2 linked regions of the Neurospora crassa OR74A genome follow. The protein of the gene in region 1 purifies or fractionates together with the protein of each later gene. This does not show direct contact. Links are inferred from orthologs where the notes say so. Each region holds a gene or a part of one and is shown in the gene's direction. Other genes may lie near its edges. The genes, in order: NCU02963 and NCU03401.

The links.
Region 2: the proteins of NCU02963 (region 1) and NCU03401 purify together in Saccharomyces cerevisiae (affinity purification with mass spectrometry; 3 studies listed by BioGRID, with this or other methods). This does not show direct contact. The link is inferred for Neurospora crassa OR74A from reciprocal best matches to the Saccharomyces cerevisiae genes GIM5 and GIM3.

Annotation. Positions count from the first base shown.
Region 1 is NC_026501.1:8,559,606-8,575,924, reverse strand, and holds NCU02963 (c-myc binding protein), read left to right. Parts: upstream 1-11,609; 5' UTR 11,610-11,761; coding exon 11,762-11,783; intron 11,784-12,035; coding exon 12,036-12,197; intron 12,198-12,671; coding exon 12,672-12,781; intron 12,782-12,834; coding exon 12,835-12,952; intron 12,953-13,031; coding exon 13,032-13,087; 3' UTR 13,088-13,358; coding exon of another isoform or gene 13,359-13,770; 3' UTR 13,771-13,910; downstream 13,911-16,319. Other genes in the region: NCU16466 (nucleic acid-binding protein), read left to right, coding at 1-251, 314-962; pex5 (peroxisomal targeting signal receptor), read left to right, coding at 2,348-2,518, 2,592-4,334; NCU02961 (exonuclease), read right to left, coding at 5,261-7,411; NCU02962 (hypothetical protein), read right to left, coding at 9,298-10,205, 10,262-10,451, 10,517-11,122; NCU02964 (hypothetical protein), read right to left, coding at 13,359-13,770, 13,911-14,141, 14,224-14,795, 14,925-15,008.
Region 2 is NC_026502.1:836,445-851,905, reverse strand, and holds NCU03401 (hypothetical protein), read left to right. Parts: upstream 1-5,528; 5' UTR 5,529-5,565; coding exon 5,566-5,580; intron 5,581-5,642; coding exon 5,643-5,845; intron 5,846-5,903; coding exon 5,904-6,096; 3' UTR 6,097-6,451; downstream 6,452-15,461. Other genes in the region: NCU03399 (hypothetical protein), read right to left, coding at 1,631-2,304, 2,373-2,889, 2,961-2,988, 3,083-3,282; NCU03400 (hypothetical protein), read right to left, coding at 4,311-4,337, 4,415-4,496, 4,556-4,587, 4,663-4,755; NCU03402 (membrane transporter), read left to right, coding at 7,828-8,194, 8,253-8,944, 9,007-10,629; NCU03403 (hypothetical protein), read right to left, coding at 11,311-12,455, 12,942-13,085, 13,136-13,290, 13,354-14,762. UniProt on the Saccharomyces cerevisiae protein: Binds specifically to cytosolic chaperonin (c-CPN) and transfers target proteins to it. Binds to nascent polypeptide chain and promotes folding in an environment in which there are many competing pathways for nonnative proteins.

The DNA of each region.
Region 1 (16,319 bases):
CGCTTCTTCTCTCAGTCTCCCCGTGTTCTTAACACCGAGGAGCCTACTCAGCCCGAGCAGACCGAGACCGAGACTGCCCCTGCTGCTACCGAGGAGGCTGCTGTTCAGAAGGACACCACTGAGGGCCACGCCGCTTTCGTCCGCAACATTGTCTTCGACGCTACCGAGGAGCACCTCAAGGGCGCTTTCGAGAAGTTCGGCAATGTCACCGACGTTTTCCTTGCCCGTGATCCCCGCGGCTTGAGCAAGGGGTAAGTTTGGAGTCCTTTCTACGTATCCCACATTGAACTACGCTAACAGATTGTGTCCACAGTTACGGTTTTGTCACCTTCGCCACCCGTGAGGCCCTCGAGGAGGCCTGCTCCCAAGTCGACGGCTCTTTCTGGCACGGTCGCCGCATCAGCGTTGAGCCCCGCCGTGCGAAGGTCAACCGCGGCAGCGCCGTCGGCGAGCCCTCTGCCTGCCTTTTCATTGGCAACATCCCCTACGAGACCACCGATGCCGAGCTGAACAACATCTTCGTCGGCATTGACGGTCTCAAGGACGTCCGCGTCGCCGTTGACCGTGCTACCGGCTGGCCCCGTGGCTTCGCCCACGCCGACTTCGTCGACGTTGAGGCTGCCGTCAACGCCTTGGAGAAGCTCCAGGGTACCCAGCTCGGCGAGAGGACCATCAAGATTGACTATGCTCAGCCCGCCGCTGCTCGTCAGCCCCGTGAGAACAACGGCGAACGCCGCGAGTACCGCCCCCGTCAGCAGCGTGATGGTCAGCGCGATGGTCAGCGCAGCTACAACCGCGACGGCGGTAACCGCAGCTACAACCGTGAGGGTGGCAACCGCAACTACAACCGTGATGGTGGCAACCGCAGCTACAACCGCGAGGGTGGCGACCGCAGCTACAACCGCGAGGGTGGCGACCGCAACTACAACCGCCGCGACCAGGGCGAGTCCACCGAGTTCTAAACTAACAAGCCGCAATCGAGGGCATGTAATGGTTACGACATGACTGGGTGAAGAGGATGGGAAACGGATGTAATGGAGGGCAAAACTGGGCAAGTTCGGTTTTCAAAAAAGAAAAGAGGCCGGTTGTGTTTCTTGACAAATGTTGCCAAAATTGGGGCACATTGGGATTGGGAAACTGTGGGATTGGTGTTGTGGCGCCTTTGCAGTACGATCACTCTGCGTACATCATCCTGACCTTTTGCTTGCAATGATACCTGTACAACTACGAAAAATCTTCTCTTCTTTCTTCTTACTGCGACTAGTTGTTTTCGTTTACCATTTTTTGTTGGTTATATCGCTGTACATATGTACGAATAGAGGGGTGGTCTTCTGTACCTTCTTTGCGTCCTGCATCCCGTATGCGTGACGTGACGATCTGCTCGAAACGCATCGTTTGATTGTTCATTTTCCCTTTCAACTTGCGTACATTGCCGTGCTGTCGGCATGCGAGTATGATTTCCGCACTCCGCTGTCGTCCGATTGTTCTCGGCTGTCGTTTGAAGGAACGAAGGGATCGATGATGGATCCGGGGGCGGGGGCGGGGGTGTACTCCACGGGCCGGGCTGGGGTTCGGCTCCATGTGAGGTGTGGTTGACAACACTCCATTGGCGGGGTTACCAGTAATAGCCGCGGCCAGGCAACAAGTGCCTGAGGTGTGGCCGGCAACTGCCACAGCCCAAAAAGACCTAACAAGAGCGCGGTGAGGTGGATATGATGGCTGGCTGAGGTGCCCTGGCTGCCTCGGCATTTCCAGCTGTTCAGGTGGCGCACGGCGGTGCCCCCCTTGTGCCCCTGAGTGACCTGAGCTTTTGGCGCCCAAGGTTCCAACTCACTTCAGATGCATGCAGAGCCCGATTTCTAACCACGCTGCTGCCATCCACACATGCCGGACCCAGACAACCCGCCCGTGCATCCGTGGGCTCCCGTCGTTACTTACAAGACAGCACACCTGCCACACATCCCGCGAGAGTCGGTCAACTTCTTTCTTTCACCTGGACAACTTCAGTTCTGGACACCGCCGCTTGATCACTAATTAATCAACTCCACGAGCTCACCACGCCCGTGCCTGGCTTGTTTGTTACTTCCACTTCTTTTTTTCTTTCCCTCTTCCAAACTAAAGTCATCCTTCCTTTGCCCTGCGCAAAAATCTACCTAGCTACCGCTACTTCCAGCCTGCCTCTACAACTTGCGCGGGCCGCTGCTTTCCCAACAGTCGACCGCATAGCGCTCTACTTCGTCTACCAGATAGTGTACAAGAGCCGCCCATCTTGTCTTCTGTCTTGGGCTTCGTTGTCAACTTTCGCCGAAACATCGCCATTGTCGCATTAATATCCAACATCTTCAAAATGTCTTTCATGGGTGGAGCCGAGTGTTCGACGGCGGGCAACCCGCTCAGTCAGTTTACCAAGCATGTTGGAGACGACAAGAGCCTCCAACATGACAGACTTGCCAACAGAGGTCCCAATGCTGCGGTTGGTGGCTTCCGGAGTATTAACCGCGGGCCTGGCCAAGATGAGGTAAGGAATCTTCATGGATATTGTTGACGGCAAGGCATGCGCTCTTGGCTGACATGACGATCCTCTCGAACAGATGGTGAACGGATTCCTAAACCAAACGCCGGAGATGGCTCATATGCCTCTCGAACAAGGACATATGCTTCACCTCGACCCGAGCCAAGGCGCCCACATGCGCGCCCCGAACGCCTCGCCAGCATGGGCTCAGGACTTCCACAACACACAGGCGGCTATGGAAGCCGCCTTCAATGCGCCGCCTGGCACTCAGTTCAGCGCCGATGAGTTTTCAAAGTTCCAGCAAATGCACCCCGCCGCGGCGCCGGCCACCGCCAGCCAGATGCCTGCTCAGCGCCCCATGATGGGTGGTGGCATGATGGGCATGGGCAACATGAACTACAACATGATGCAGCGACCCATGTACCAGCCCATGGTCGGCATGCACGGCCCTCAGATGCACAACATTCCCCAGCAACAACTACAGCCCGAGGGCAAGGGTAAGGGCAAAGTTGTTGAGCTCGACCAGAACAAGTGGGAAGAGCATTTTGCTCAGCTGGAGATCAATGGTGACGAGGCCCGCGCCATGGAGCCCGAGCTCAACAAGATGGACGAGGCGCTACTTCACTCCGAGACTGGTGCTGGCGATCTCGAATCCATCTGGCGCGGTATCCAGGCCGAAAGAGACGCCATGAAGGAGTTGGACGAGATTGATGTCCAGGACGACTTTGCCAAGTTCGACAGTGAGAACCTGGAAAAGGAAGATTGGACGCTGAACGGCAGGCTCGGCGCGGACCCTATCGTGCAAGAGTACCTCTTCGAGGAAGATAACCTCTTCAGGGAGACACCAAACCCATTCGAAGAGGGTATTCGTATCATGAAGGAGGGCGGGAACCTGTCGCTAGCTGCTCTGGCCTTCGAGGCTGCGGTCCAGAAGAACCCCGACCACACCGAGGCGTGGGTCTACCTCGGACAGACGCAAGCCCAGAACGAGAAGGAAGAAGCTGCCATCCGTGCTCTCGAGCGTGCCATGAAGCTCGACCCCAACAACCTCTCTGCTATGATGGGCCTAGCCGTCTCCTACACCAACGAGGGCTACGACAGCACCGCCTACCGCACGCTCGAGCGCTGGCTGTCGACCAAGTACCCCAGCGTCATCTCACCCAGTAACCTTTCCTCGGCCGCTGACATGGGCTTCACCGACCGCGCCCAGCTGCACGAGCGCGTCACCAACCTCTTCCTCGAGGCGGCCCGCCTCGCTCCCGATGGCGATCACATGGACCCCGACGTGCAGGTCGGCCTAGGCGTCCTGTTCTACGGCGCCGAGGACTACGACAAGGCCGTCGACTGCTTCCAGTCGGCGCTGCACTCGACCGAGCTCGGCACCTCCAACCAGCGCGAACAGATCCACCTGCTCTGGAACCGGCTGGGCGCCACTCTCGCCAACAGCGGCCGCTCCGAGGAGGCCATCGCCGCCTACGAAAAGGCCCTCGCCATTCACCCCAACTTTGTCCGCGCCCGCTACAACCTTGGCGTCTCGTGCATCAACATTGGCTGCCATGCTGAGGCCGCGGGTCACTTGCTCGCGGCGCTGGACATGCACAAGTCTGTAGAGAAGAGCGGACGCGAGAAGGCGCGCGAGCTGCTGGGCGGCAATGCGGGTGATAGCGACTCGCGTATCGATAACATGATGACGCAGAACAGGAGCACGACCCTTTACGACACTCTCCGTCGCGTGTTCACGCAGATGGGACGGAGGGATCTGGCGGAGAAGGTTACTACGGGCGTGGATCCCGAGATCTTCCGTGGTGAGTTTGATTTCTAGAGTGAGTCAGAGTTGGAGTTGAAAGAAGAGGCTCAGGAGTGGATGGTTGGGTATGACGCTATGGAGGATGTTTACTACGATGTTGATGTCGAAATGGAGAAGGCCTTGAAGGAGGAGCAGCAGTGGTGTGATGAGGACTTGGACGAGGGTTACTTGTCGAGTGAGGCGAGTACACTATGTTCGGATGATTATAGGGAGTTTTGGTGAATATACAAATATTAAGTACTGTACAAAGCGAATGTAGCTGGCTTGTCGGGGTTGTTAACAGCTTGTGTTGGGGAGTGAAAAGTCGAAGATGGGGCTTGGTGCTTTTCGGCTAGTGGTGAGTCTGGTTTTGCATTTGCTGGGTGTCGTGTGTTTCTTTCTTGCTTCACGATGGTGAGCGGAGAAAAGCGGATTGTGTTCACAGACACATACATAGATAGATACGATACATAGGCTTCTGAAAGAATCTGCATTGCGTGTCCTTGCCATACCTTGCTCGTTTTGATATCCACAAGTTTGGGATCACCATCTTGCTAGTATCTACCGTCAACCAGAAATAGAAGAGTAGATCCAATGAAGGTGTGCAAAGCTGAGGCTCTTGGTCAACAGCGTGTATCACTGAACCTTAACAAAACGGTGATATTGGCAATAGATGCTGAAGACTCAAGACGTCGCCTTCTCTAAATTTATGGTAAACTTCGTAAAGAGAAGTAAATGTTCGTAGAGCCCGCGGCATCGAAGTATGTATCTTGACGATATTCTATAAACCATCGTTGACGCACCAAGCAAAGCCATAAGGTCTATACTGTCTTGATGTCATCTAAGAACCTCTTCGCTGCCATCCATAACCATGTTCACGCCAACAGCTACCCTGAAACCACCTCCCACAGATATTAATTCTTCTTTCTCCAGCGTCCACTCGGGGGCATAGAGCTCAGAGCCTATTTAACTCCAATGAAGCCAATGCCGCTTCTCGCCACCTTCAGAGCCCGACGCAGAGCCTGATCCTCCCTGTCCGTCCATTGCACACTAAGCTGGTCCCACTTAGAGCCAGGCGTGTTGTACTCCTTCTTGAACTGGGCCTGCATGGCCTGCAGCCGGCTCATCTCGCGCGGGTCACCAGTGCCGGTGTAGACGATGAAAGCCGTGCAGGGCGGGAGATTGTCGTAGATGCGCTTCAACCGCTCGCCGAGTGTCTTCAGGCAGGTCTCAAGGGGTGATGCGGCATCCTCCTGCTCTTCCTCTTCCTCCTTTTTATCACCATCAGTGAGAGCCGGCGGGCCGCCAGCGTCCTCGGGGACGAGCTTGTTGCGGTTCCACCATCCTCGGAGGGCCTCGAGCTCACGCATGCGTGCCCACACAAAGTCGACACCGCCGCCGGGAACTTCGAGGCCGTCGGGATCACCCTTGACCGCGCGGAGGATGCCGGCTTCAACCTCGGCGTCGGATTTGCAGGAAATTGTGACGGTGGCGGCGTTACCGGCGCTTCTGCTTACGTCACCCCAGTCAACAGCTGCGCTGCTCTTGCCGACAGGAGCACCGCCCGTGGCCTCCGGCCCAGCGGTCGAGCGATATGCCGTACCAGCGCGAGCGAGGCGCTTGAAGAGGTTCTCGCCCTGGCTCTCTCCGGCACCCCATGCCTTGCCCTTCTCGCACTTCCTCTTGACAAGGTCGAGACACGTTTTGGCGTCTTCGATACTGTCGTGTCCGGCGTTGGTTCCACCACCCTTTTGAACTTCGCGGTTGAGGAACTTTTGTGCGAGGTACTTCAACGATTGTTTGAGGGGAAGTCCGCGAGGGTGCGGGAAGAGAAGCGAGGTGTCGACAATGAAGGGGTGAGCGAGCTTGAGGGCCTTAAGATCAGAGTCAAGCGAGTGTCCGAGGAGAATCGAGCGAGGACCAAGAATGTCGAGCAAGCGTGCCTGGATATCTTTCAATGTCGTGTTGATAGGATCGATCATCTCTTTGGTGATACCTGAAAACCGGGTCACATAGTCAATGATAGGCTTGTCCGGCTTGACAAGCTCGTCAAGAACAACACTGCCGTCCCAAGAGACCAAGCTGATTCTGGTAAGTGAATACTCGGCTTCCCCCGTCATACACATCTCGCAATCGAGGGCATAGACTTCCCGGCCTGCGGTGACACTGCCCTGTTGCACTTCGCCTTCGGGGACCTTTCCATCCTCAAGATTCTCGACCCTCGTGTGTACCCAGCCTTCGGGGTCCTTGAACTTGTCTTTTTTCTCCCCTGGGTTCAGCATAGCTGGATGAACGGGGAAGCCATGCTCCATCAGCTCCTCGTTGGTGGCCAAAAACTCGGTAATGCGTGTTCGCTGATTTTTCCAGCCGTGGGGCTCAGATACGGGCTGGATTCCCGTTCCCTTGCTCTTGGGCAGGGGCGCGGTAAGCATTGCAGGCATTGGCGAGTGCAACTTGCCATACTTGTCGTCACCTGGAGCTTTTACAGGCCACAAATGCGGGAACATGTCGGCGAAGGGCTGCAGGACTTCGGGCAACAGCTCCTTCTTGAGCTCGCGTGGATAGTACTCATCAGGATCAGGGGCGCCGCCACCGGAGATCGCTTGATCAAGAGTGGGACCGGTGTAGGCGGAGAAGTCAAGACCGTTCTTGAACATGGCCTCGTCAAGACCCGGTACCATGATGGCCACGATCTTTCTGAACTCGGGGCGATGCTTGACAGACACCCATTGCGGCGCAGGGCCATCGGCAAAGATGTACAGGATCAGGTCGCGTAAAGAAGAGACGTTGATCTTGGAAAAAAGCCTGGCCTGGGTCGAAAAGTGAATGCCGGGATAGCGCTTGGATTCCTGGCCAGGAATCTTCTTGAGTTTCTTTACCGGCCGGCCATTTTCGATTGTCTGCCAGCCGCCGCCGTCTTCATGGTCATCTTCGGGACATGGCCGTTTAAGACCAGCCGAAATTGTGGTTGACGTCAATTCACCGTCCGTCGGAGCAGTCGAATTCTGAAGGCTGGTGACTTCGGAATCAATGGCCATAGAGTCGCCCTGAAAGGTGGCCAAGGCAGCCGCAACGCCGCGCTGACCTTTACTCTTGTTCTTTTTTCTGCTCATGATGACTGCGCTTCCTCTGAGGGGAGTGTGACCTGAAAATTGCACGGAAGTGCAGGCTCAGAAGAAATTGCAAAAGAGAAGGAATTAGGGAGTGAAAGTGAAACGAAAGTGTTCAGGTTTTAAACTGGGGAAAACAACTGAACATTGATGGAAGTGGACGTCTGAAGTTGGCACGAAGTCACTGAAGTCGGACCAAACCAAAAAGAAAGACACCCTTGTTCGTGCCTGTCAAACCCCAGGCACGCCAAGGTTGGGTGGAGCGACTCACGGCGCAGTGTTTGCAGGCAGGCAGAGCCCCACTGTGGCATCCAGTGTGGCGGATTTCACTGTCATTATCGGGCATACCTAGTGGTAGGTAGTCAAGCCACATCTTATCGTCCAAGAAGGTGGCGCCTACAGCTTTCGGTCCCCTGTATTGCCAAGACCATCTCTACATAGTACAGTATCAAACGACTTATACGATAGCTCCTTCCTTTGTTGTCCATTGTTGAGAACCAAAATGAGCGTCCACGTTTCCCATGATGTGAAAATTTCCTTCAGTGTACACAGTTGAGTTGCCCGAGTCATCCCCAGCACATCTCCAATTCGATTTCAGCTCAAGCAACAATGTGCGTGATCTGATTCCGACGCCCACGCTCCACGGTTCTGATCTCCCGATACGCGGGGCATCACCATATCTTTCCTTTCTCATTCCTGAACACCTGAGTTCTTTCGCAGCAGGCCGCTTAACCTTGCCCTCGATATCCATAGTTCAGCATGGCGGAGCTGGTGCTCTGCCGTTGCAAACAGTGCCGGGGCACTATAGGCAAGTTCATCAACCTGTGGTATGAAATCGGCATGTATGTGGTTCCTATCATCGAATCAAAGAACAGTCTGGACGTATGCCACAAGAGAAGCGCAGTTTACGGAGAGCCGGGTACCTTGATGGAAAACTGGTAAGTCTGTATCAATCATACACTCCATGTCTGATGTTGTTACTTATTCGAATGTGCTGTAGTCGACTGCAAATCATAGCCTGTGTCAGTTGTTCCGCGTTTCTTGGGCTGAAATGCGTCGAAACACCCGGGAATCATGTGCTAGAGAGGCAAGTCAAACATGATCATTGGCGTGGGACATCGAAGACAATGCCTAACATAACCTTGTAGATATCATGTCCTATTCTACCAAGGCTCAATTGTGCCATTCGACGACGCAGGCAAGAAAAGTAGCATCTACATCGATCGCGTCCTCGACAACACAGAGCCATCTAGTAGTGTCAGCACAGTTAGCTCAGCCGAGACACTAGGGGAAAGTGGCACTTCTCCCCGGGCGGGAATTTCAACAATGCCTTATCGAAGAACGAGCTTCCCAGACAAGCGAGCAACGAAATGACCAAAGTCAGAAGCCAATTGCAACAAGAACTGGCGGGGCTTAGGTCCCAGGTCTCTGACCTCCTAGTTCAAGTTGATGTCATAGCATCAGAAGCCAACAAGAGCGTTTCTACCACCAATGATGGGAATGAAGTTGCAACACTTCGTGCCAAAAATGCAGACTTGAGACGCCTGTTGAGCAACATGCGCTCTATCGAAAGTCTTCAGATAGACTTCGATATTCTCAAGAGCAGGGTGCAACGGCTCGAGGGTGACCAGCAAACTGCCAAGAATCTGACATCTCCCAACTGTCACAAACGGACCTCGTCGGAGGCCGAGCTTCCTGAGACAGACATTGCAGGAGAGTTGCCAAGTACGCCAGCTATCGACACTTCGCCTTGCCTCGCCCGACGCCGCTGCACAAGGAGGCGTACAGTCGGGATGCAGCTAGACACCTCAGACTAGCCTGTCGGCCAAGTAAGGAAAGGGAGTCTAGGTGCGGAGAAAGGACTGAAATATCTTTGATTCTTTTCGGGCTTACTTCCGAGCCAGACTCTTGTTGCCTCCCAGTTCAGCCTCGATGATCTCAATTGCGAAACTCGCAAGCTGTGTGATCGGCTTGAGCACAACGTTCTCCCAGAAAGCTTTGCTCACAGGATCTTGCAAATTGTTTGCCCAATGCTTGACCATAGCGGCGTCCTTCTCGTCGCGCTCCTGCAGATCTCCGATGTCGCGCAACATTTCCTTGGTTCCGAATAAGACGTCCCACGATGCCACACCCCCTATAACGCCGTTTTGCCTGACCAGCCGAAGGATGACCTCGGTCAAAGAAACTATGTCAGCGGTTGCCAGAACCCCAATAACACCCTCGTGGTCGCAGTACCGAGCAAGATCGCCGCTATAGGTCAAATCTCCCGCCGCGGACAGGAGCTTTGCAATTGTCATCAGTGTTTTGACCCTGAAAGGCGTGAATGATGCCGGGTACTTGAAGGGATAGCATTCCAACGCCATGAAGCAGTGTAGAGGAAGCGCCTTGGCTAGCGTAGTACGGTTAGAACCCAGCATGGTAGCTATCCTGAGAATCGTGGGAGGAAGGGGATCGAGAGCCCACAGCTGGGCATCCCTGAGAGGTTTGCAAAGTTCCCACTGGGCTCGCGCATTCTCCATAGGATCCCCCTGAACAATGCAAGTCAACTCCATACACTTCCAGTGTATTTCCTCGATCTTTGACTTTGGTACTGTCTTTGACCTTTCGATATAAGCAGGAACCAGGCTGGCGACATCCGGCTGGAAACTGGAGGAGTTGAGCCACTTGACACCCGGGGAAACCCCGCAAGCCTGAATAACTTCGTAGGCATTCAAATCCTCTTTGCAACGAATACAATTGCACTGGAAGTGATAGAGTCGAAGACTCTCTTGCCTTGCACGGCGAGGCATAGTGTGATCTGGCTGGCAAGTTAGAAGACGAGAAAACCCTCGCTTGCGAAAGGAATTACCATACCGATATATGAAATCAGAATCTCGTCGCCCGGTTCAAGATCCCTCTCCGCCTTGAGAAAGGCCTTGCGCTTCTCGAAAGCGATGTAGGCGTTCGGAACACAAGAGTGATTAACCATAGAAAGACTAGGGTGAAGATAGATGCCCGCCTGTCCCGTGTCGGCATCAAACCTGTTGAACGCATTCGTTTGGATCTAAGGTCGCCGCACTAGTCAGTTCACATCACACGTCGATACCCAGACTTCCACATCAAACTCACCTTGCACAAAACCTCCATAGCCTGCTTCAACGTCTCATCACTCTGCAACAAACCCGCATAAACCACCGCCCCCGTAGCCTGTAATTCGAAATCACCCCACAAGCCCTCATCAGTCTTGAACCCCTCCACATTACTCTCCAACGTACCACCAGGCCCAAACGCCTTGACAGTCTCCTCATCCCCAGCCTTCAACAACAGCATCACCTGCGCCACCGCCCTCACGGGAGTCGGCAACCAGTCCTTGCCCGTCCGCTCCTGGATTCGCTTGAACATCTTGCATTCGGCCTTATGCACCAGCTTCCAGTGCGCCCGCTGGCACTCGGCGTTGCAGTACACGGCCGCCTTGCAGCCCGTGCACGCCTTGCACGTCCGGGCCCCCGCTTCCACATCGCCCTCGAACTCGATCGTCCCGCTGACATAGAGGCAGTAGTTGCAGGTCGTCCGCATGTTGGCGTCGTCTGGGAGAGCGAGCAAGGGGTTTTCGATGATGGCGATGGTTTCGCCGGCGCCGAAGCGCTCCGTGGAGAAGAGGCTGCGGCCCCGGTCGACGCCGGGGATGCCGCCGATGCGGGTTTTGGGGATGGGAGATGGCAGTGAGGGCGCCATGATGGTGGTGCTTCTCTGCGAGTTTGGGTTGGGGTTTGTTGATGAGGTGAAGAAGAAATTCGGGTGTTTGTTTGTTAGAGGTTGCTGGGGTGACCGTTCTTATGTGTAACGCGAAAAGTTGAGGTGCCACCCGTTGATAGTGGCAACCGACGAGAAAGTTTGAAGAGAGCGAGAAGGATAAAATGCTGTTTCCAGTACAGTTTTCCGTTATACTCAACCCAGTAAGCCGCTTCGCCGTGTATTTCTCTTGGAACAAGATGGTCAGTTCGAGGATTGGCTCCTCAATGGACCTATCTATGTTGTCGAGGAAAAGTGAGAAGATGGTTGTCAGGAGAAAGTCAAGTCACTGTTTACTCGGTACTACATACCTAGGATCTCGGGCATGTACCCCGCCTGCAGCGAACAGGGGAAAGCGACGAAGCGACCCCTGGAAGCCCGCAAAATTCTGCCCCACAGAGCTGCTCTCATAGCGGGGCAACCACCTCCACGCACTACCTCTATCGTTGCTGCCGGCCCTCGTGGCCGCCCGATCAACTGGAACTGAACCTCGTTCAAACATCACATTCGGTTTTGTGAATTAGACACTCTTACATCTAGCCCATTCCTCTCTCGATTACAAACGAATAAGAAAGCGTAAAGATGTCTGGCAAGCAAGAAGGAGGTAAGTATCTCCCCTTTCACCGCTGCCCGCTCCTTTGAACCTTGCAAGCTCCCACTCATTCAAGGGAGCTTCATGTTCGCTCCTCCTCTAAAGCTCAATCAAGCTTCGAGCTCAAGCTTCACCTTACCTTCCCCATCCCCCCCCCTGGTCACCTCCCGCACTCATCTCACCCCCTTTAGTCCACACCATGATGCCGCCCCCATTCCCCGTTTGATGTTTCAATGTGTGGCAGTCACTAACAGACCTTCCCAGTCAACATTGAGAGCCTCAGCGCTCAACAACTTACCGCCGTCAAGCAGCAGCTAGACGAGGAGGTCGAGCACCTGACGGCCTCGTACACGCAGCTAGCTGCGGCGCAGGCCAAGTTCAAAGAGTGCTTGCGAATCGTGCAGACAGGAAGCAGTTCTTTTGATGGTATGTTTAGTTGACCTGTTTCCTTCATTTTTCTTTCATCTTGATGTGGTAGATGAGATGGGGTGGATCGTCTATGAGTATATTCGAAGGGCCGGGAGTTTGGGGGATGGGGATGGATTTTGTCAAGCTTCCACTTGACGGTCAACCTCTTCGTGAGCTTTTGTCTCATTCTCTGATGTGACCCGATGAGCTATCCCTTTTTTTCTCCAGTCCTCTTCATCCCACTTACAACCATAACAAACGTCTACACCTCATTTTACTTTTATCTACTCATCTCATGGCGGTGATGTCGCCATCCTCCACCTCCCCACGCCTCATATCTCCCATCCTCATATCCGATCAACACCCTTTCTTCCCACCTGCTGTTCCACCACGCCCATCCTACAATTCCATTCCCTTCATCCCGACCCAAGCCCAGCCGAACGCCTACCCTCCAGTCATGGTCACCGCTGACAACAAGACCCCATTCAACAGACAACAAAGACATCCTCGTGCCCCTCACCAACTCCCTCTACGTCAAGGGCAAGCTCTCCAACCCCGACCGCGTGATCGTCGATGTTGGTACTGGGTTCTACGTCGAAAAGGTACGTCTCTCCGCCACGAACGGCACTACATGTTATTAACTCGAAGCGTTCAGGACACCAAAAGTGCCACTGATTTCTACGATGCCAAGGTCAAGGAACTTGGCGCCAACATTCAGAACTTGGAAGCCATTGTCCAGGGAAAGACTAACAACCTCCGCGTGGTGGAAGAAGGTACGGCATTCTCCTCTTTTTCTTGAGCTGTCCGTGCATTTCAGCCATGGCATTGTTACTAACAAGAATCAACATCTAGTCTTGAGGCAGAAGGTGCTGGCACAAGGAGCTGGACCTGCATCGGCACAGGCATAGTGGAGAATCTGACTTGTTATTGTGTGATTAAGCGAAGCAAAAAAAAACAAACAAAAAACGACAAAAATACAACTTGGGCACAGCTACTTGGTGTATGTCCTCGATCTCCTTGAATACGCGTTGAGCCATTGACGATTATTATGACGACACACCCATGTATTCGAAGAACCGTTCCGCGACCTTGAGCTCAGCAGCCAAACATCACTACTTCAGCTCTTAATACCTCACCACGACAACTTTCCATCTACAACTGCTGATAGCCCGCGTCTGTCTATACAGTTCTTTCCAGCACCGTTTGGACCTTTCCAACCCAGTGCAATAAGGCATCAAGCGGGTCAAGATCCCTAGTGGGGTCAGCGGATGACATGGATGACTTGAAGAACTGTTCTGGAAACGCTTCCCAGGACCGCGGTCCGGCTGAAACGTCAGCATTGGCCATGTGGTCGTCCCACTCCGGTCGATACATGCTGACGCTCACACCAGCGACGGGCTCTTGAGGCTGTCGGCTCTTGGTGCCCGAGATAGTGCTCCACTGCCGGTACAGGGAAAGCTCAACGATGTAGTCCTTGTTGAGGTAATAGGACCAGGTCGTCTTGCCAATGAGAGCCTCAATATGGTGTTTCTGTGCGAAGGACGCCGCAATGTGAGGCTCAATACAACGGGTGTTCTCATTGTGACGAATCCTGATGCCCTTGCTCAGTGTATGTTGATCGAGTGGGAGCTTATTGCCGGTCTCATCGATGGGAGACTCGACTTTCAAGACCCAGTCGTGATTTCTGGGATGTGTTAGTTTGGCAAGGAAGTGAGAAAGATGCCGACTTACTTGTCAGGGCATGCTGTGGCAAGTTCGACACTACGGTGGCTCTTCTCTCGATGGAAGACGTTCAATGAGCCGAAAGTAAAACCACAGATTTGATTTTTATCGACGCTCACTTCCAGGTTGACATTTTTCGTCGTCACAATCACAAAGTTTTCTATGCCTTGGGGGCCTTCAAAGTCTGGATCGAGGGAGAAGGCATGTTGAATCTTTTCGCGCATTGATTCACCACCCAGTCTGAGCAGTGTTAGACATTAATCGCCTGGGAAAGCGACCAGAAAAAGGAGAACCAGAAGGGAAGACCAGAGTATACACTTACCTCATCTCCATGTAAGAAGTCCCTCTGCTGCTCACCCTGCGAGCCAACTTCGAGAACTCATCGAGCGTATAGCTCGTAGTACCCCGCTTGCGTTCTTTGAAGAACAGTTTGCCGAAAGCGATCTGCATGCGCATCCTATTGGGACAATACCGCAAGCCATCACCCACGCGGACCATCGCAGCAGCAAGATCGCTCTTGTAAGCTTGGACAGCCAAAGCATCGGCCACCTCAGTAGAGTCGGTGAGTGTCGCGGCTGGTCGAAACCATGTGGTTTCAGGGCTGTCCTGGAGAAGTATCCGTATGACACGCTTGTCGCTGCTGGGCGGAGCCACAAGTACTGAATCTCGCCAGACTGTCGCATGCCCTTCACGGAGCATCAAGCTCCTCAAGATGCTGCGTATGGCCGCCTGGGCGTTCTTGGGAGAAGCAGCGGAGATCTGGATGGGATCCTCCTGTGCTTTGAGGCAGATCCTGACACGGTGCTGTTGTTCGATCTGTTCCAAGATTGTCTTGAGCTCTCGGTCCTGGTCGTCTACAATGCGAAAGCCACGAGTTGGGACCACCAAGTCCACCTGTAGAAGAAAATATCAGTATACGTGAAATGGGGGTGAAAGCACTCTTCCTCAATAGACATAGACGTAGAACTGCGCTGCTTGAGAGAAAGGGGAAAGCTGAAAGGTACTCGCCTGAATGTTCAATACCTCAGACGCCTGGCCGCTGCGCTGCGACGAGGATGAGGCGCCCGAACGAGAATTGGGCAGTCGAGCTCCGGTGGCGAATGACATGGTGACTTGACAAACGCGGAGTGATTGCAAGTTGAGATCGAAACGTTATGAAGACGGGGAAAGATGAAAGAAGGAAGAAAGAGGAAGATGTAGAGGTAAGGAAGACGGCGACGACGACGACGGCGATGTTGATGTCGAAGACCAGGTGGTAATGGTAGTGGTGGTGGTGGTGGTGGTGATGGTGGAGGAGACACTGAAGATTGATGAGGATGAACAGAAGAAGAAGAAGATGGAGAGGAGGAGGAGGGTGAGATGGTCTTATAAGAACGCAGGTCGCGAATTTGATCTCGTGTCCGACCCAAGCAAACGATACTCGACACGAACGCGCATGCTCAAACCGAGTAGGCCGCTGGGGGTAATTGCAAGTTGCCGGCTGGTTGCTTTGGGCTTCGGGGTGAGTGCCTTGGCAATCAGGGAAGGAGCCAAATGACGTTGCTCACCCGAAGAGGGAGTAGGCACGAGATTGAAGACCTAACTATATGAACATGGGTTGCTCTTGCCCATGGACTACTCACAACCGGATAAGTTGAACACTTCGGTTGTCTTCTTGCGACTTGTTTATTGTGGTAGTAATATTCCTGGTTGGATGGGCAAGGTGCAGCAAACCCAAGACACTGTTCGGAAATGCCCGAGTGATCTTTGTCCTTGCCCAACTGAACCTCAGCCAGTCTCGAAGGAATTTGGACAGCAAGTGGTAAATAGTTCGATCGCGGTAACAAACTTAACAAGTCTGGACCAACGCATGAGCTGATGACTGGGAGGAAAAGAGCAAGACCATTCACCAGGCCGGAGATCAAGCCGAGCTGAACACGTCATTGTCGTTGGAAAGGGGAAGAGCCATCAAACAAGGACGGCAGTGGCATCAATGCGTCACTTGGGGTGGGCTTTTGAAGGAAAGCACGTACCTGTAAGGGCATTCGAACTAAGTGGCAGGAACAACGAGGTTGTCGATAGTTGGCGATAAGTTCTTCGTCCTTTGTGAGACTGCAAAGGGTTGCTCCCCGGTAGATTCAGGTACCATTGGAGTGATGTGATCTTGCTGTACCTGTAGATGATACTAACGAATGCATATTCGGAAACCAGATTTGGTTCAAGGAGCTACGCATTTATTCATATTAAATATTTCTTTGCTGACAAGATCGACTACTGCTACAGATAAGTTGAGATGGAAATACTCTATATAAAAGCAGAGTGTCCGCCTTTTTGTCCCGAGCGGAAGACAAACCAAACAACTTGTGAGCTGTGAAACAAGTGTCATGAAGTGTCTTGTCTTGAGAACCGTAACAGTCCAGTGTCCTCCGCCCGGTGTTG
Region 2 (15,461 bases), on another chromosome or scaffold:
CCTGCACCTTTCAGCACAACATCCCATTCTACAATCGTTCACTTATGTAGTCGCCGCCAATGTAAAATGGAAAGATGGACCAATACATACCGGAGGCGGGGACTCTTCGTTGCTTCCCGTAACTCGCCTACCTATTTTATCATTTGTTAGTAGCCAGTCCTGTGCATCTCTCCTGGAAAACATCAAGTAGCTTTTCCATTGGTTGATGGTTCCCATTCAACAAATCCCCAGCCATTCCTCAAACACTGATCATGCGTGTGGTATGTGTGTGTGTATGTGGGCGCGGGGAAGGAGAAGAAAGATGCCAAGCGGTTACCACACCAGTCAGATGGCTCCATCCAACAAACTTCGAGAGGCATACAGTGCTTTCTAACGTGCATTGGAAGAGGGAGGCTGCGTCTCGAGAAGAGGGTGTCCTGACCTCCTGGATTTTGTTTTCTGTGTTGTTTTTTTGGATAGCCAGCTCAAGTAAAAGTAAACCAAAAAGAACAGAAATAAACAAACGCCATGGTGTGATTGATGTGAAAAGCATAAAAATGCAAGCGCCCGGCCGGCCAACGGGTGACGACTGAAATATCCCCAAAGAGCGGGGGACGATCAGAAACGTAGAAATGCTTAACGCTCTTGATAAACAATCAAGCATGAAGCACATTCCATCACTTTTTCCATCTCCGTCTGATCTTATCGTCCTCGTCGGTCATCTTCTCCGGAATCCTTCGATAAGGACGCAGTTGCGCAAAAGGAAAGAAAACTTTAATCGATGCAGACTCAAAGTACATATCACTTTTTATCATCGGCGTTGGCTGTGGGGGAGGGGGATGGTCGCTTGACGACGATGATCCTGTCCCGAAAAAGAATGGAGGGATGCAAGTCATATCGAGGCCCCTATCACGTGAAAGCGTATCATCCTCGTGCTGGATGCTGGTCGCGTGTGCAAGTGGTGAGACGCGGTTACGTGCGACCCGGTCAGTTTGGTGGAGGATATTTCAAAGACAGCCACTCGGATACCGTCAGCACTTGACTCGATATCCTGGCATGTCGCGCCAACCCCAATTTAGTATAATGATACCCATCATAAAGCATAATCGAACACACAAACACCAGCAACGTCGCTCGAAACAGACTCCTCATCAGATCCATCGTCAATTCATCCTTCAGCTTCATTATGGTACATCCACACCTGTCTTGCGCCATTTCGGCGGCGCGGCCTCTCCCTTCCTCCCTTCCTTTAATTCTTTCTGTCGTTATCATGCAAGGTATTCCGGGGGTAACAAATAAAACAAGGTTAACCACCATTTAGTCATCCGTTTCTCCGTAACCCCTTTGCGCTTGCCCAATTTTTAATGTACAATACAGACCAATGAAGCAAATCCATGCTATAGCGCAATATGAACTTTTTTGATCATGAGAACGCCCAAGATCCCAGAGCAAAAATGCATACGCTCACACAAATAGATGCCAGACGAGATCAAACCGAGGAAAAAAAAAAAAAAAAAGACAGTTAAGCTCAAACAGGCCAGCCAGATTCAGCAGGCCAGCCAGATTCCGCAGGCCAACCGGATTTGGCAGACCAATCAGTTTCAACAGGCCAGCCAGACTCCATCGCGACAGGCTCGGGACGTCCAGACTCCTAGTGCTGCTCGTCACCACCGGCGCGAGGAGGACGAGGGCCTCCACGACCACCACGAGGACCGCCACGGCCACGGCCACGGCCACGTCCATCGCCACGTCCACGGTAGCCACCACGGCCGCGGTAGCCTTGCTGCTGAGGACCACGCTTGCCCTGGACGGACTGGAAGCCGTCATCAGCACCAGTAGGGGCACCGGCAGTCTCGGGATGATCGTCAGCCCACGACTGGGTGTTGGAAGGCGCGGCAGGGGTAGCCTCAAGGCCCTTCTCGGTCTCAGCGGGATCGCGCTGGACCTCGACCCACTCCTGAGAGCCCGTCATGTCGGTAGAGGCAGCAGCCGAGCCAGAAGCATCCCAGCCGCTCTCGGCAGCAGGGTTGGCAGTGCTGTCGCCGGCATCGGTCTGGGCGGGGGCACCGCCAGTAGCAGGCTGCTCTTGGGTGTTTCCGTTGGTCAAAGCAACAGCGGAACCATCGTCGATTTCGGTAAGGCCAGCGTTGGCAACAGTAAGATCGGTCTGGGGTTCCTGCTTGGACTCGACAGCCTCGGTCTCAGCGGGCTTGGTTTCGGCGGGGGCCTCGGTCTCGGTCTCGGTGGTCTGGGCAACGGGCTCCTCAGCGGCGGGCTGGGAGAAGGGAGCCGCATAGGCAATAGCGACCTGCTTAACCTGGGCAACTGCAAAGACGGAGTGAGGTTAGTATATATGGAAGGCGGGCTACATGTGCTAGTGGAGGGGTGCTTACAGGTAGTCTTGAGCAGCTCACCAGTAGTGCTGCGAGTCTGCTCCTCGGCACCCTGGACGAGCTTCAGCATGTTCTTGACAGCATTCTCGTCGCCCGAGTAGATGTGGAGCAGGACACCTTCGAGAGCCATATTCTCGTCGGCAGTGCTGTCGGCATCCTCAGCGCGACGGGCAGCTGCGAGGCGGAGGAACTGAGAGAGGTGGAGCAAGCTATCGTGGAGCTTCTTGTCGGCATCGGCCTCGGCCTTCTTCTCGAGCTCGGCAACAAGGTCGGCCTTTTCCTGGGCAAACTTGTCGGCGAGGGCCTTCTCCTGCTCGGCCAGGCGGATCTTGTGCTCAGCATCAAGCTTCCTGAGGAGAGCAATCTGCTCGTCAAGCTGGAAAAGCTGGGCCTGCAGGGCGGGCTTCTTGAGGTATGCGGCCTTTTGGTCGGCATTGATGATCTTGAGAGACACCAGCTCATCAAGAGACTTGTTGCCGTGCTCAGCTACCAGGTGGTCGATCTTGGAAGCATTGGTCTAGATTGAGGAACATAAAGTCAGTCTCTAGCGCAATGGCGTGGCATGTCAGTGCGAGTATAGAAACCTACAATCTTCTTGGACACATTGCGGATAGCCCTATACAAGAGAGAAGAGACAAGTGTCAGCAGCTAGTAGAAGGTGATGGGATGGAATGACGACGATGGCGGCTAGACTTGGGTAAAGAACGGACTTTTGGATCTCACGAATATGGGGGTTGGACGAGTCGCCCTCCTGAGACGGCTCGTTGCCAGCAGCGAGAGAAGCGGGCTTGTCTGGGGTCGAAGAGGTAGCGAGGGCGGGGGACTCGGTGCCCTGCTTGGCCTTTTTCTTCTTGGCCGACTTGGACTCGGTCGCGACCGGAGGGTTCTGGACGGCGGCGGCAGTCATCATGTGTAGTGTTGTGGTGGATGGGGTGGTTTGTCAAGCTTGTGGTGGTTGCGCGGTGGGTAATTCAGTTGCTTGGGGACAAGGCTCCAACGATATGTCGGGCTACCTATGATGCTCCTTTGCGGGGTTCAGTTGCGTTGCTTGACTGCTGATGCGAAGAGGGGTGGCTAGCAGCAGTGTTGATTATGGAGAGTGAGGCAGAAAAAGGAGAATAGCGGTAGAAGAGCTTGTTGAGTTGTTTGCGAAAGAAGGTGTGGTGGAGGGTTTGTTTTGTTGTTTGGCGGAAGGAAGGGTGGGAGTGGGTGGGTGGGTGGGCGGGACGGGAAGGCGGCGGGCGGCGGGACAGCTCAGCTGCTGACGTTCGACCTTTTTGGAGCTCTCTCCGTCCGCGGGCGGGCGGGCAGCCAGGAGAAGGAGTGGAGACAGCGATTCCCGCCCAGGCGGGCACCACCTACAACGAAGTCAGAGCCGGGCAGTTGCTGATACCTTCCATTGGAAGGTTTTGGCGGGCGTCCGACGGCTGGGCGGAGGAGTCACAACGGGCCTCCTGAAGCTACCTACCTACCTCTAGAGGTACCTACAGGCAGCTGAGGCTACCATCGGGTTCCGTCTGGGGTTGGCCGCAGCTCGGCGGCTTCCCGTCGACTGGAGCCCACAGACGCGGGAGGGACAGGCACAGAAGCCTGAAGAAAGACCAAGAATCACAGCTCCATCACAGGCAACGGCGGTCCATGCAGTATAGTACGGCAGAATTCTTGGACATGACCATGAATTTTGATTTTACCATTATGTACGATGGATGTCGAGATGTCTTCCCCCGCACTCGATTCAACTTGTCATGTATGAGCCAACTGTTGTCACTACCTACATCCACGAATGAGGACGTGTACAAGTCCATGTATGCACTTGTACCCTATTGAAAACTGATAGGTCGTCGAAACCATGCTCCCGTTTGCTTCACCTCCAACGGGATCCCTTTGACGGTGGGGGTAACCAGCCCGTGTGTTGTCTAGGCGCAGTGTTGGAATTCCTCAACCCTTGAACTTGGCAAGAGTGTCCTATTGCAGCAAAATGTCAACAAAAGGGGGTCAAAAAAAAAGGGGGGGGCGTGGTTGTGGGGAAGAAGAAAACTGACCGCAGTGACTTTCTTGACACTCCGACCTGTGATGCCCCGTTCACCCCCTTGCTTGGCTTCGATGGTAGCCTCCTTCATGAGGCTGTCAGAGTGTGTGTTAGCGTGATACCGTTTCAGAAGGTGTGAGGAAGTGGTTCCTACGTTTGCATGAACAAAACATAATCGAGATAGATCTGCGACAAACACGATGTTAGTGCGACGCGTTGGATTTTGGGAATAGTGGCATTTTTATTGTTATCTTCGCTTACCATGACATCGACATTTTTGCTAACATTGCAGTTAGCGTGGGCCTTGACAATCTTCTTGACCGTTGCCCGCGGGTATGCTTTTTGGCCGGGCATATTTCCGCCCAGACTTCTTCTTGCAGTTGATTGAATATCGTGACAAGACCTAGGATATCCCCGATACCATGTCCTTTGCTGCTGTGAATAGGCCAACCGTGCCCGAGGTTGATGTTGATGGTCACTATCAGGGCAGATAGATGTGTTGTTTTGATGTTTTGGCGTTGCGCAGAGGACTTAGCACTAACACAGACGTTGTGACCAATCGGGTAGCAGAGCCCCAACCCCACCATGAAGTACAGTGAAAACCCTTGTAAGAGCAACCTTGTATATGAGCAACCCCCCCTGTATTTGCAACAGTATGGGCCAAAACTCTCTTTTTTATATGTGTAAGAGCAAACGAGTATACAGTAATAGTCTATTTAGTAATTTGCTCTAAAGTAAGGGTACTTCTCACCCAATTATAGCCTTGATACTACTTTATACCCGCTATTTACACACTTTTTACATTAGGGGATGGGGAGGTCTGGGCGCCAAGGCTTTCCTAGAAGTGCAGGTTTTGGTAGTATGGCCCGTGCACCCTACCCCAGCACCAGCAATCCCCCCTGTTTGAGCAATACTTGTGGCCGGATTTTTGGTGTTGCTCGTACTAGGGTACTGACTGTATGTACCTGGGTAGTACCCCCCCCCCCCCCCCCTGGCGTCGATGAACAGCTCCCGTCGCTGTGCCCCTGATGGATTCCAGGTGGGGTCAGACGGGAGCTTCGACGTCGCTTCGGTCGCTCCCTAGGTCGTCAGTCGTCACCACCCAACGACTCTATCTATGTACTGTACCGCTATCAAACATCACCAACCAACTCCACCGGCAAAATGAACCGTCGCATGGTAAGTCCTTGGTCCATAACATCTGCTCTCTCGCGCTCGTCGCTAACCACCCCTCAAAACAGTTGAGTAAAGAGGACGAGGAGGCGGCCGGCGACGAGATCGAGGTCCGTCGCGAGGACCAGGACAAGATCAACAGGTTCAGCCGATTGCACCAGCGCGAACTCGCCCTCGAAGAGGAGCTCAAGAACAAAAACAAGGAGAAGGAGGAACTCGACGACTTGGAAACCGAACTGGAGCTTGTCGAGGACGAGGACGAGCTTGTCCAGTAAGTTGCAACCGTCAGCACGACACGTAGCCAGACACATACTGAGACCCGACAACAGGTACAAGATTGGCGATTCCTTCTTCCACATTCCCCTCGAACAAGCCAAGGAGATGCTCGGCATCGCGGCTGCAAAACTCATCAAGGAGATCGAAGCCCTCGATGACAAGCTTGAAACCATCCGCAAGGAGATGACGGGGCTCAAGGTGGAATTGTACGCAAGATTTGGAAAGACAATCAACCTCGAGACATGAAGCCATGCCCGCAACCCATTTCGCCGGCTTACATCCCTTTCGATGAGTGTGAATAATGCTTCCGTGTACAACACTGGCAACAGTTCCATCGACCAGGGCTGAGCAGTCGCTACCAACTTAAACCACGTCAACAACATGATCAGACTCTTGGGCAAATTACTGGATATAACGTGCATGTTATGTCACTCAAAGTCCCTCAGGTAGAGAGGCCAGACTCGCCGGCAGGTCAAATGCCCAATGAAGCATATCTGCAGCTCGCAGCGCCTGTACTGCAAGCCGCTCGCTGCCGGGCCTCGGCCCTATCACCATATTCCACTGTCAACGGCTGGCTGTCAGTGGGAACCAAAAACACATTGTAAGCCTTTCTCCAAGTCAATACAGCAACTCGGTCCCGGCGCCCTTACCGTACTGACTGAAGCAGGTAATATAACTGATGTCAACCTGGGGCCTCGTAGACTTCTTATCTTGACCATCAATGCCGGAATATGCATTTGCTACTATTTGGATAATTGGAGATGCGAGAATCGCATGTCCCATGCGCTGAGATGTGCTTCAAGCAGGAACGGACTTGACGCCTTGCCGTCGCTTCAGCGATTTAAGATGTGCCAATCACCCGATCCTCGTCCTAATCACCTTACTCACTCTATCGAACGAAATTGTCGCCGCGGACGGCTTGCCTTAGTCCAGGACACGACCTCAGAATCGCCAGTCTCTAACCTGCGTTCACTGGCAGGGCCGGCCCATGGAATGCTGACCACTGTTCCCGTTGATCAGTACAGCTCGAGCCAAAATGCTGCCGACTTTCGAATGAGTTTTTTTTCTTGATGTCCATGACAGAGTTTCCTGAAGTCGATCTGGGAAAAAGGCCTGAGGCTGCAGACCGTGGCGAACAGACATATATATAGATATTGGCCCTCGACGTGCAAGTGACGATACCCCGGATCCAACCAGTTGGAAACAGCCACACCCACGGCTATGCTTCATCTCCGCAGGCCCCATCGAGCTCCATGTGCTGACCGAGTTGACTCCGTCACCCTTCCCCGTCTGTCGACAATCCCTCGGCCGTTGGGATAAATCAGGGATTGTACAGCACGAACGTCATGTCCACGTCGAGACCATCCCCTTTGTTGTCCCTGAAGACCTTATCCTTTTCACATGCCCAGCTCAACTCCTCTTGCGCCGCAGGCTACCACCATGTTGGCAACGTCAGCAATCCCTCTATCCTTGCCCATCCAGCTGGGACACCTGTCTTCCAACAAATTAGTCGCTGAAGCTTGATTGGGGGACTTTCATCGTTTCGAGATGAGGGTGCTTTGCTCAACGAAATATCACTTGGCCGGATGGATTAATGATGTGATTGACTTGTGGCTTGTTAGTTTACTAACTGTTACCCTGCTCATCCTCGGATATCATCACTTCCGTGATCAAATCCCCTTCCCGTCATGCATACACTATATCTGTTCAAGCATGCATGACATATTCTTTCTTCATGACGATTATCATGGGCGAGACACATGCTTCGATTCTCGTTTCGTGACTCTGCTGTAATGGTATCTGAACAAGATGGCAACTCTATATCACCTCTTTTTCTCCATCGCTCGCCCGCTGTCAAGTTTTGGAAATGACTCTTCTTGTGTTCGTCTTGATTATTGTGTAAACGACCTGACCTTCAAAGAACCATCGACCTCTCCGCTCCATTGAGTGGTCTGATGACCTCCATACTTTCGCACCATGTCACACAATCTCGAAGAGAGCCCCGGTGATGATGATCATCGGCAATCCCAACCCACCGAGGCAGAACAGGGCATATCAAGATATGGAGATCGAGCTGACTCTGATTTTGTGCAACGACCCAAAAATACGGATGGCACACTACAGCCCAGCAAAGACAAGGAGTCCCTCCGTAACAAGAAGTCTCCGGAGCCGAGGAAGTTCTATCTCGTAACTCACAACTCGGGAGACGACGAGAGGCACCGTGGGAGCGAGTCTTCATACTCGTATGAGTCAGTGAATCTTGAACAACCCTTTCGCTTCGGCGAGTTCAATACACTCGTCGGAGAGTCTTTACCTTCTCTGTCAACACGGGACAGTACTAGTGGTGAGCGCACATATGCTTCTCCAAGTTACATGGCCGCTTCTGCTAACCGATCCAACAGCTCCCAGAGTCAGCTTTTCAGACCCGGCAACCATCCCCATCAGTGGACATGCCAGTTCTTCATCCTCGTTCCACGAAAAGCCAACCACTGTTGAGCCACGGGGGATCCCATCCCAACTCCTGCCCCGAGCCAGCAGCATAACCAGTTTCGGCTTCATCGATGACGGTGAGGACACCATCATCTCCTGGGAAGAAAACGACCCAGAAAACCCGTACAACTGGTCCTCCGGCAGGAAAGCCGCCATCTTGCTGACGGCCGTCATGTTGATCCTCAACTCGTCCATGGGCAGCGCCCTGCCCAGCAACGCCATCCCCTTTATTGTGGAGGAGTGGAAGATCGAGTCGGAGCAGGAGACGGTCCTGCCCATTTCCATCTACCTGATCGGTGAGGCCTTGCAGTATTTTAGTTATTTCTCGCAAAGACTGACGGATTTAGGCTATGTGATGGGTCCGATCTTGTGGGCGCCGCTAAGCGAGCAGTATGGGCGCAGGAGATTGAGTATCGGGACGTTTGCCATGTTTACTTTGTTTACGTTGGCGTGTGCATTGGCTCCTCATTGGATTTCCTTTATCATCTTCAGACTGTTTTCGGGCATCTTTGCAAGTGCGCCTATTGCGCTGGTGCCGGGGATTATTGCGGATATTTACAATGAACCGAGGCAGCGTGGGAGAAGCATGGGGATTTTTATGGCTGTCAGTTTTCCCTTGCCCCTTTCCCATCCACACAACCACTGACCACCCCCCTCCCCTCACAGACTACAGTCTTCGGCCCTCTCATCGCCCCCATCATCTCCGGCTACGCGGCCACCACCATCGGCTGGCGCTGGGCCTTCTGGATCGGCCTCATGTACGCCGGCCTGACCCTCCTCCCTCTCTTCTTTTTGTTGCCCGAAACCTACGGCCCCATCCTCCTCCTCCGTCGCGCCCAGCACCTACGACTCACCAACCCCAACGCCCACGTCGTCGCCCCCCGCGAACTCGAAGACACCCAACACTCCCTGTCCGAACTCACCACCATCGTCCTCACCCGGCCCATCCGCATGATCCTCATGGAACCCATCGTCTCCACCAGCTGCGCTTACATCTCCCTCTGCTACGCCATCTTCTACATGACCTTTGAAGCCTACCCCTTCATCTTCATCGACCTGTACGGCCTCACCCCCGGCCAATGCGGGCTCACGTACCTCGCCATCGGCGTCGGCTGCTTGATTGCCCTCCCGATCTTCATGGCATGGGACTCCATACTCACCCGCGCCCGGCACCGCAACGCCCCCTGGACTCGCCAGGAAGAATACCGTCGCTTGCCACTCGCTTGCCTCGGCGGCCCCATGTTCGTCGTCAGTCTCTTCTGGCTGGGCTTCACTTCCCGTTTTTCAGTCCCCTTCTGGATCCCCATGCTAAGCGGGATCCCCTTCGGCATGGGCTTCATGTGCGTGTTTCAGGCGCTGCTGAACTACTTGACAGACGCGTACGAGATCTTTGCCGCGTCAGCGAATGCGGCGGCTTCGTGCTCGCGGTCGTTGTTAGCGACGCTCTTACCGCTGGCGACGGCGCCCATGTTCCATCGCTTGGGCATTGCGGGCGCATGTTCGTTGTTGGGTGGATTGAGTCTGTTGATGACGATGATGCCGTTTATTTTCCTGTGGCAGGGGGAGAAGATTAGAAGGAGTTCCAAGTTTTGTTTGTTGTTGAGGGAACGGAGGGAGGAGATGGAGAGGAAGATTGAGGAGCAGAAGAGAAGGAGGACGGGAATCATGATGACGATTAGGATGAGTGGTGTGCCACCGCCGGCGTCGTCGTCTGCTGCTGTTGCTGCTGCTGCTGGCTTGCGATTCTCGGCTTATGGAGAAGGTATGGCGAGGACGGAGACGAGGGGGGAGGCGGGGAGGGTGCTGGGAGGAGGAGGAGCTATGGTGGACATTGCGGAGGAGGAGCAGCAAGGGATGAAGAAGGATGTGGAAAAGGGAATGATGGAGATGGACAAAGGGAAGGAGATGGAGATGGAGATGGAGGGGAGGAAGAGTTCTTCAAGTGGCAGCAACTACTCAAGCCACAGTGAACGAAGATGCATTCAGGCGGGTGATGGTAGGAGGGGGACTGGCGATGTGGTGAATCATGTCTTTGAGTGCCCGGACTACGAAGGAGCTGATGAGGTGGGCGAGTCCTCATTCAGTCACGACCATGACCCTCCTCCGCCTGGTTCAGGTTCAAGAAGTGGTGGCTCGTCAGCTACCGTGGCGGTTAGTCCTCCACCGCCTCGGATCACTGGTACACCTCATGACGATGATGATAGCGATGATGATGGAGGGGGGAAGTTGAATGGAGACGGGCTTGTTATTGGAAGTCGGGAAGGAAACGAAAGGAAGAAAGATGAATGAATGATTGGATTCGCAGATGTTATGGTACGATAACGAAGAAAGATATATACTAACCAAGGAAATAAATTGAATAGAAAAATAGGAAAATAAAAGTGTTTAGCACCGGTTAGTAGTGTTCAAACGCGGGCCACCTACCTAGAGGTATTCGTCCTACTTCCGCGAAGGAAGATACTACGACAACTTGAGTGATTTAAGTGTAGGTAAAGAAGAAACAAACGAGCATCATGGCGAGAAAAATGCTTGGTTATTTACACTTGATGGACAAATGTCACTGGTGTTCAATATGGAATGAAAGAAATCCTTGATGTAGAGGATGGCCTTTCGGCTGATGATAATCGCTTAAATACTACCTCTGGTTTTACTAACACAGCTGCTGTAAGTCGTTACATCAGAGAAAGCTTGTCATTACTTGTTTCCCACACCACACGTGATGGCCAGTAACGCAAAGACAATGATGCCCAGTTCCGCCTGGTTATAATCACACTCTTTTGGCGTGGTTATCAGGCCTTTCAACTTTTGCAGAACCACCAAACACTGGAAATGCACGTTGATTCTCTACTCCGCACAATACCTAACACTTGAAAATCCATCAAGGGATGAAGCTAAGAAGGCACGAAACAACAAAAATAAAAATATGATTGCTCATTGAAAACCAGTGATGGTTCACTTCTTCCCCCTTTTCTACACGTTGCCGGCGGCTATCTCCTGGATTGAAAGCGAGTTCTCCAGATGAGATCCACGCTTGTTGTTTGTGGGAAACACTTGATCACTATCGTCTGACTCGTTTGCATCATCGATAGTCTGCGAATCGTTCGGACCACTCCAGGTATTGTACTTTGAGGAGCCAGAAGTGGCCGAATCACTCTGACACTGGCCATTTTCATCCGAAAATCTGACCTGATGTGTTCTCAGCACCAATGTTGTATCACTCTTGACCGAACTCAGGTCGGTAATTTTGATTTCTGGCACAACCGCTTTGTTCGAAATGGGGATAGACGACTGACGACTGGACTCTGGCGAGTATGACCGCGGAAAGGAGTGAAAAGAAGCATCGTTGAGAGAGGGAGAGCTGAGTGGCGTCGCAAACTTGTCAGTGGTAGCTGATGAATCCCCTCCACGACTTCTGGGGAAAGTGCCTGGCATAGTCAAATTCCGATGACTGCCGGCATTGGACCCATCAAGTTCAACATCGGAACCAACAGGGAGAGTTACCCAAGGTCTGGGTCCGTCTTCCACCTCATTCGACACCAACCGCTTCAGGCGCCTGATTTCTCGGCCTAATGCTTCGAGTTCTCGATAACCAGCCTCGGTGGGATGGAGTGCAAGCTCTGGGTATTCCAGTGTGGCTCTTGCTTGGTCAAGATGCGAATCCCCGCACGAAACGTCTGATGATCTTCGGGAATGAACAAGCTTGTCGAGGCCGGATTTGAGAGCCTTTCCGAATTTGCTTGACATTGAGTTCTTCTGTCTGTGACCCATGACCCCGTTATGTTGGCGGTTGGAAATAGCCCCAGAGATCGCGGTCTGTGTAATCTCTTGGTTCGGCGGTTTATGGGAAGCTATTCGCTCGGTCCGAGCTTGGTCCGTATTTTCGTGGTCCTCATTTCGTTCTGCACGGTTGTACGAAGGAAACCTTGCCCATGCCTCTGGAAACTTTCGAGGCCTCTGTATCTCGGGTCCTGGGCTCTCGAGTGACGATCTGCGCACACCTGCGACGTTCAAAACATTATCGCTCGGCTCTGGATTGCTTTCAAGTGTCTTGGCAGAAAGTTCAGTGGAAATGGACACGGGACTGCTGCTTTGATCTTGGCCACCAGGGCGCGCTCCTGGGTACGGATAGGGGTAATAAGTTTTGGGTGGAACGTCAAATGGTCGGTAGTCGCTATGTCTCTTTTTAGTACCTGTATGGCGTCTCCAGATTTCCTCTCTCACAGCAGATTGCCAAAGCTCTACTGTACTATCATCACAGTCGGAGAATGGAAACTCGCTGCTTTGATGGAGCGTTTGCGGACCAACATCACTGAGTGCAGATTTCTTGTGTCTTTGCGAATCAACCGGGCGTGATGTAGAGGGCAATGGAGTATTCTGCTCGCCGTCTACCTGACCGTCAAAGGAAGCCGGGGTCAGTTTGACACGTCGAGGTAAGCTCAAATGTAATCTCGCCAGCAGTGAGCGCTTCGACGGTTCGGCGCGTAGTTTCATGGAATCGGTCGGTTTATCGAACCTTTTGGAGATATTGGACGGTGCCCCATGCCCTAGATGAAATCGAGCAAAGCTCCTCTCCATTATATTTAGCTTTGGTACCGATTGACGTTTGTTGATGGTATCTGATGCCACGCCCGATGAGATTAGCTCGGTCTGAGTGGCGGTGCCTCCATCAGTAGGACTATCGAGCGAGCTCCCTCCCGTGGCCATGTTCGAATGGCTTTCACCAAAAGGGTTGGACGGAAGAAGCCCTGTAATCTATTAGCATCCGAACAGAAGTCGTTCATGGTGGACTACTCACATCGCAGTGGTGTCGCTGAAAGCAAGTTATGGGGACCCATGACACCTGACGGTAGATGCGATGAAGAAGTTCCTGCGCTAGGATCGGCGCTATGTCCAGCTGAGGGATATGCCGATGATGGGTTGCTGATGAGGCCAGCCTGACCGTTAGGCTGTCTGTGTGATGTCTCGGTCCCGTATGCAGCTGTCTGATCCGAGCTACCATGTCTCACAACATACCTACGGACTGTGTTCTGTTCCGACTCGGTATTTGCAGGAGATTCCTCAGGAGTGTTCAGAGTCTGTGTAGCAAGCTGCCGATGGATATCCATGTCATGAAGATGGACAATCTCAGGACGTTGAAGACTAATGTCACCGCCAGGGTGGTTGGGAATCGAGCTGCATCTCTTGAGCATGACCACTTTAGCCTGTTCCACGCTTATTTCGGGATCACCGTCTCTATCCGAAGACCTACCCAAGGAAAGTGACGGCGAACATGATCCAAGACCCTGGCTTCTGAGCCAAATACCCATTGGTGACTGATCCAACACGCATGGAGTTGCATTCCCAGGAGTGCGGGCCGAGGAAGAGCGTGGACGAGTCTCTGACTTGGACCGGCGTAGTAGCGGTACTGAACGTGAGGTAACCGCCCTCGAAGCTGCTGCTTTGAGGGAAGACTCGGCATCTTGGGAGGAACCATCTTGATCGATGAAGCCCAGAAAGTCTTCGAGTTGAGTAGCGCTGTAAGAAAGCCTCCAAGAGCCCAAGGAGGAAGTGTCAATAGTATTGGAATAGCGCTGCGGAGCCAAGACCGGAGAGGCTGGCATCTCTGGGAGTGAACTGCGTTCTCGAACTGGCTTCTGGATAACCGCAATTGTTGGATATTTGAGACTGTTTACTCGGGGGCAGCTGTTTTCCTTGTCTGAAAGGGGAGCCGCCTTTCCTGGTGCAGAGACATCGGCACTGGACTTTGCAATGGACGAGGAAGTCGTATCGGAATGTGCCTCTCCTTCCTCTTCTTGGGCTACCGAGAACTCTAATGCATCACGGGGCCCTCCACCCGGAAGGTAGTCAGGCGAAGAGGATCTGGGTGGTGGCAGCACAGAGGAAACCTCACTCCGAGACCGCTCGTGGGATTGCTCAATGCGGAGTTCCTCTTGTATCCTTTTGTGCATCAGTCTCTTGAGCTCGGCCCGTCTTTGGATTTCCTCTTGGCTGGAGCCAACAGCTGAGCGAGACTTTTTCTTTGGCAAGGAGTCTTGGGACAAGTGACGACGAATATTCTCTCTGACAAGCTGGAGAGTGCTGGTACTCTTGCTTGGCTCGGTCGATCTGCCTGGTAAGTCGTCCTCCGAGTCTTCAACCACGAGATCGCTCAAGTCGGCTGGCCCAATCGGAACGATCACAGAAGATGTTGCCAGCTGCAGCGATGTACCAGACTTGCTGGAAGAGTCTGGATAAGCGTCAACGGCCAGCGGAATGGCGATGACTGGGTTGGATGTAAGTGGTCCTGCAACAGGTAAGCGAGCAGGAGGAGGAAGTGGCGGAAGTGCACCCGAGGGTTTCGGGGTTTGATTCCTGGGGCTCGGTGTCGACGGCGTCACTGTTCTGGGAGGGCGAGGTACCCCACAACAGCAGAAGCCCGTCATGGTCCAGGCTGCTATGTCGAGATGGAGCAATGGATCATTGGCTTTTCTTTCGCATGGGTGAGTGGCCCTGCTGGTGTTTTGAGGCTTGCTAATGTTGCAGTGTTTCCAAAAAGGGAGTGTTGTAGTTTTCGCTGTAATGGGCTGGACAACACAGGGCCATCAAGACCCACGAGAAGCAGATCAGGGTGAAGATGCGAAAGGGAGCAGCTCCAACAGCAAGACGAGGGGTGGAAGAGAGACGAAGCTGACAAGAAGAGCAATCTGAAGCAGTCACACAGAGCGACAGGTCAAAGGTGACGGGCGTAGATGCAACATTGGTCCAATTTCCTGGGAGGCGTGGTTCGAGCTATTCCTCTTGACGAGGAAGGTGAGGTAGTGTGTAAGTAGGTAAGTAGCGAAGGTGCGGAGGAGGGGTTCAAGGTTCCTCAAGCCCGGGCAGGTTCCGAATCAATCGTGCGACTCTGGATAAGGTAAGACTGGACCTGTGATTGGATTACTACCTACCTCTACCTGAAAGGAAAGGAAAGAACCTTAGGTTCAGTGATGATACCGAGTACCTACCTTACCTCTAGGGTAGGTTGGTAGTGTGATGGATCCCATGTTGGAAATCTTGAGGGTCTGATCCATCATCACTCTTTCCCTATTTGCTTATAACTTTCCTGCTTCACTGCCCCTGCTTCAGTAGAGAGGTTGCCTGCC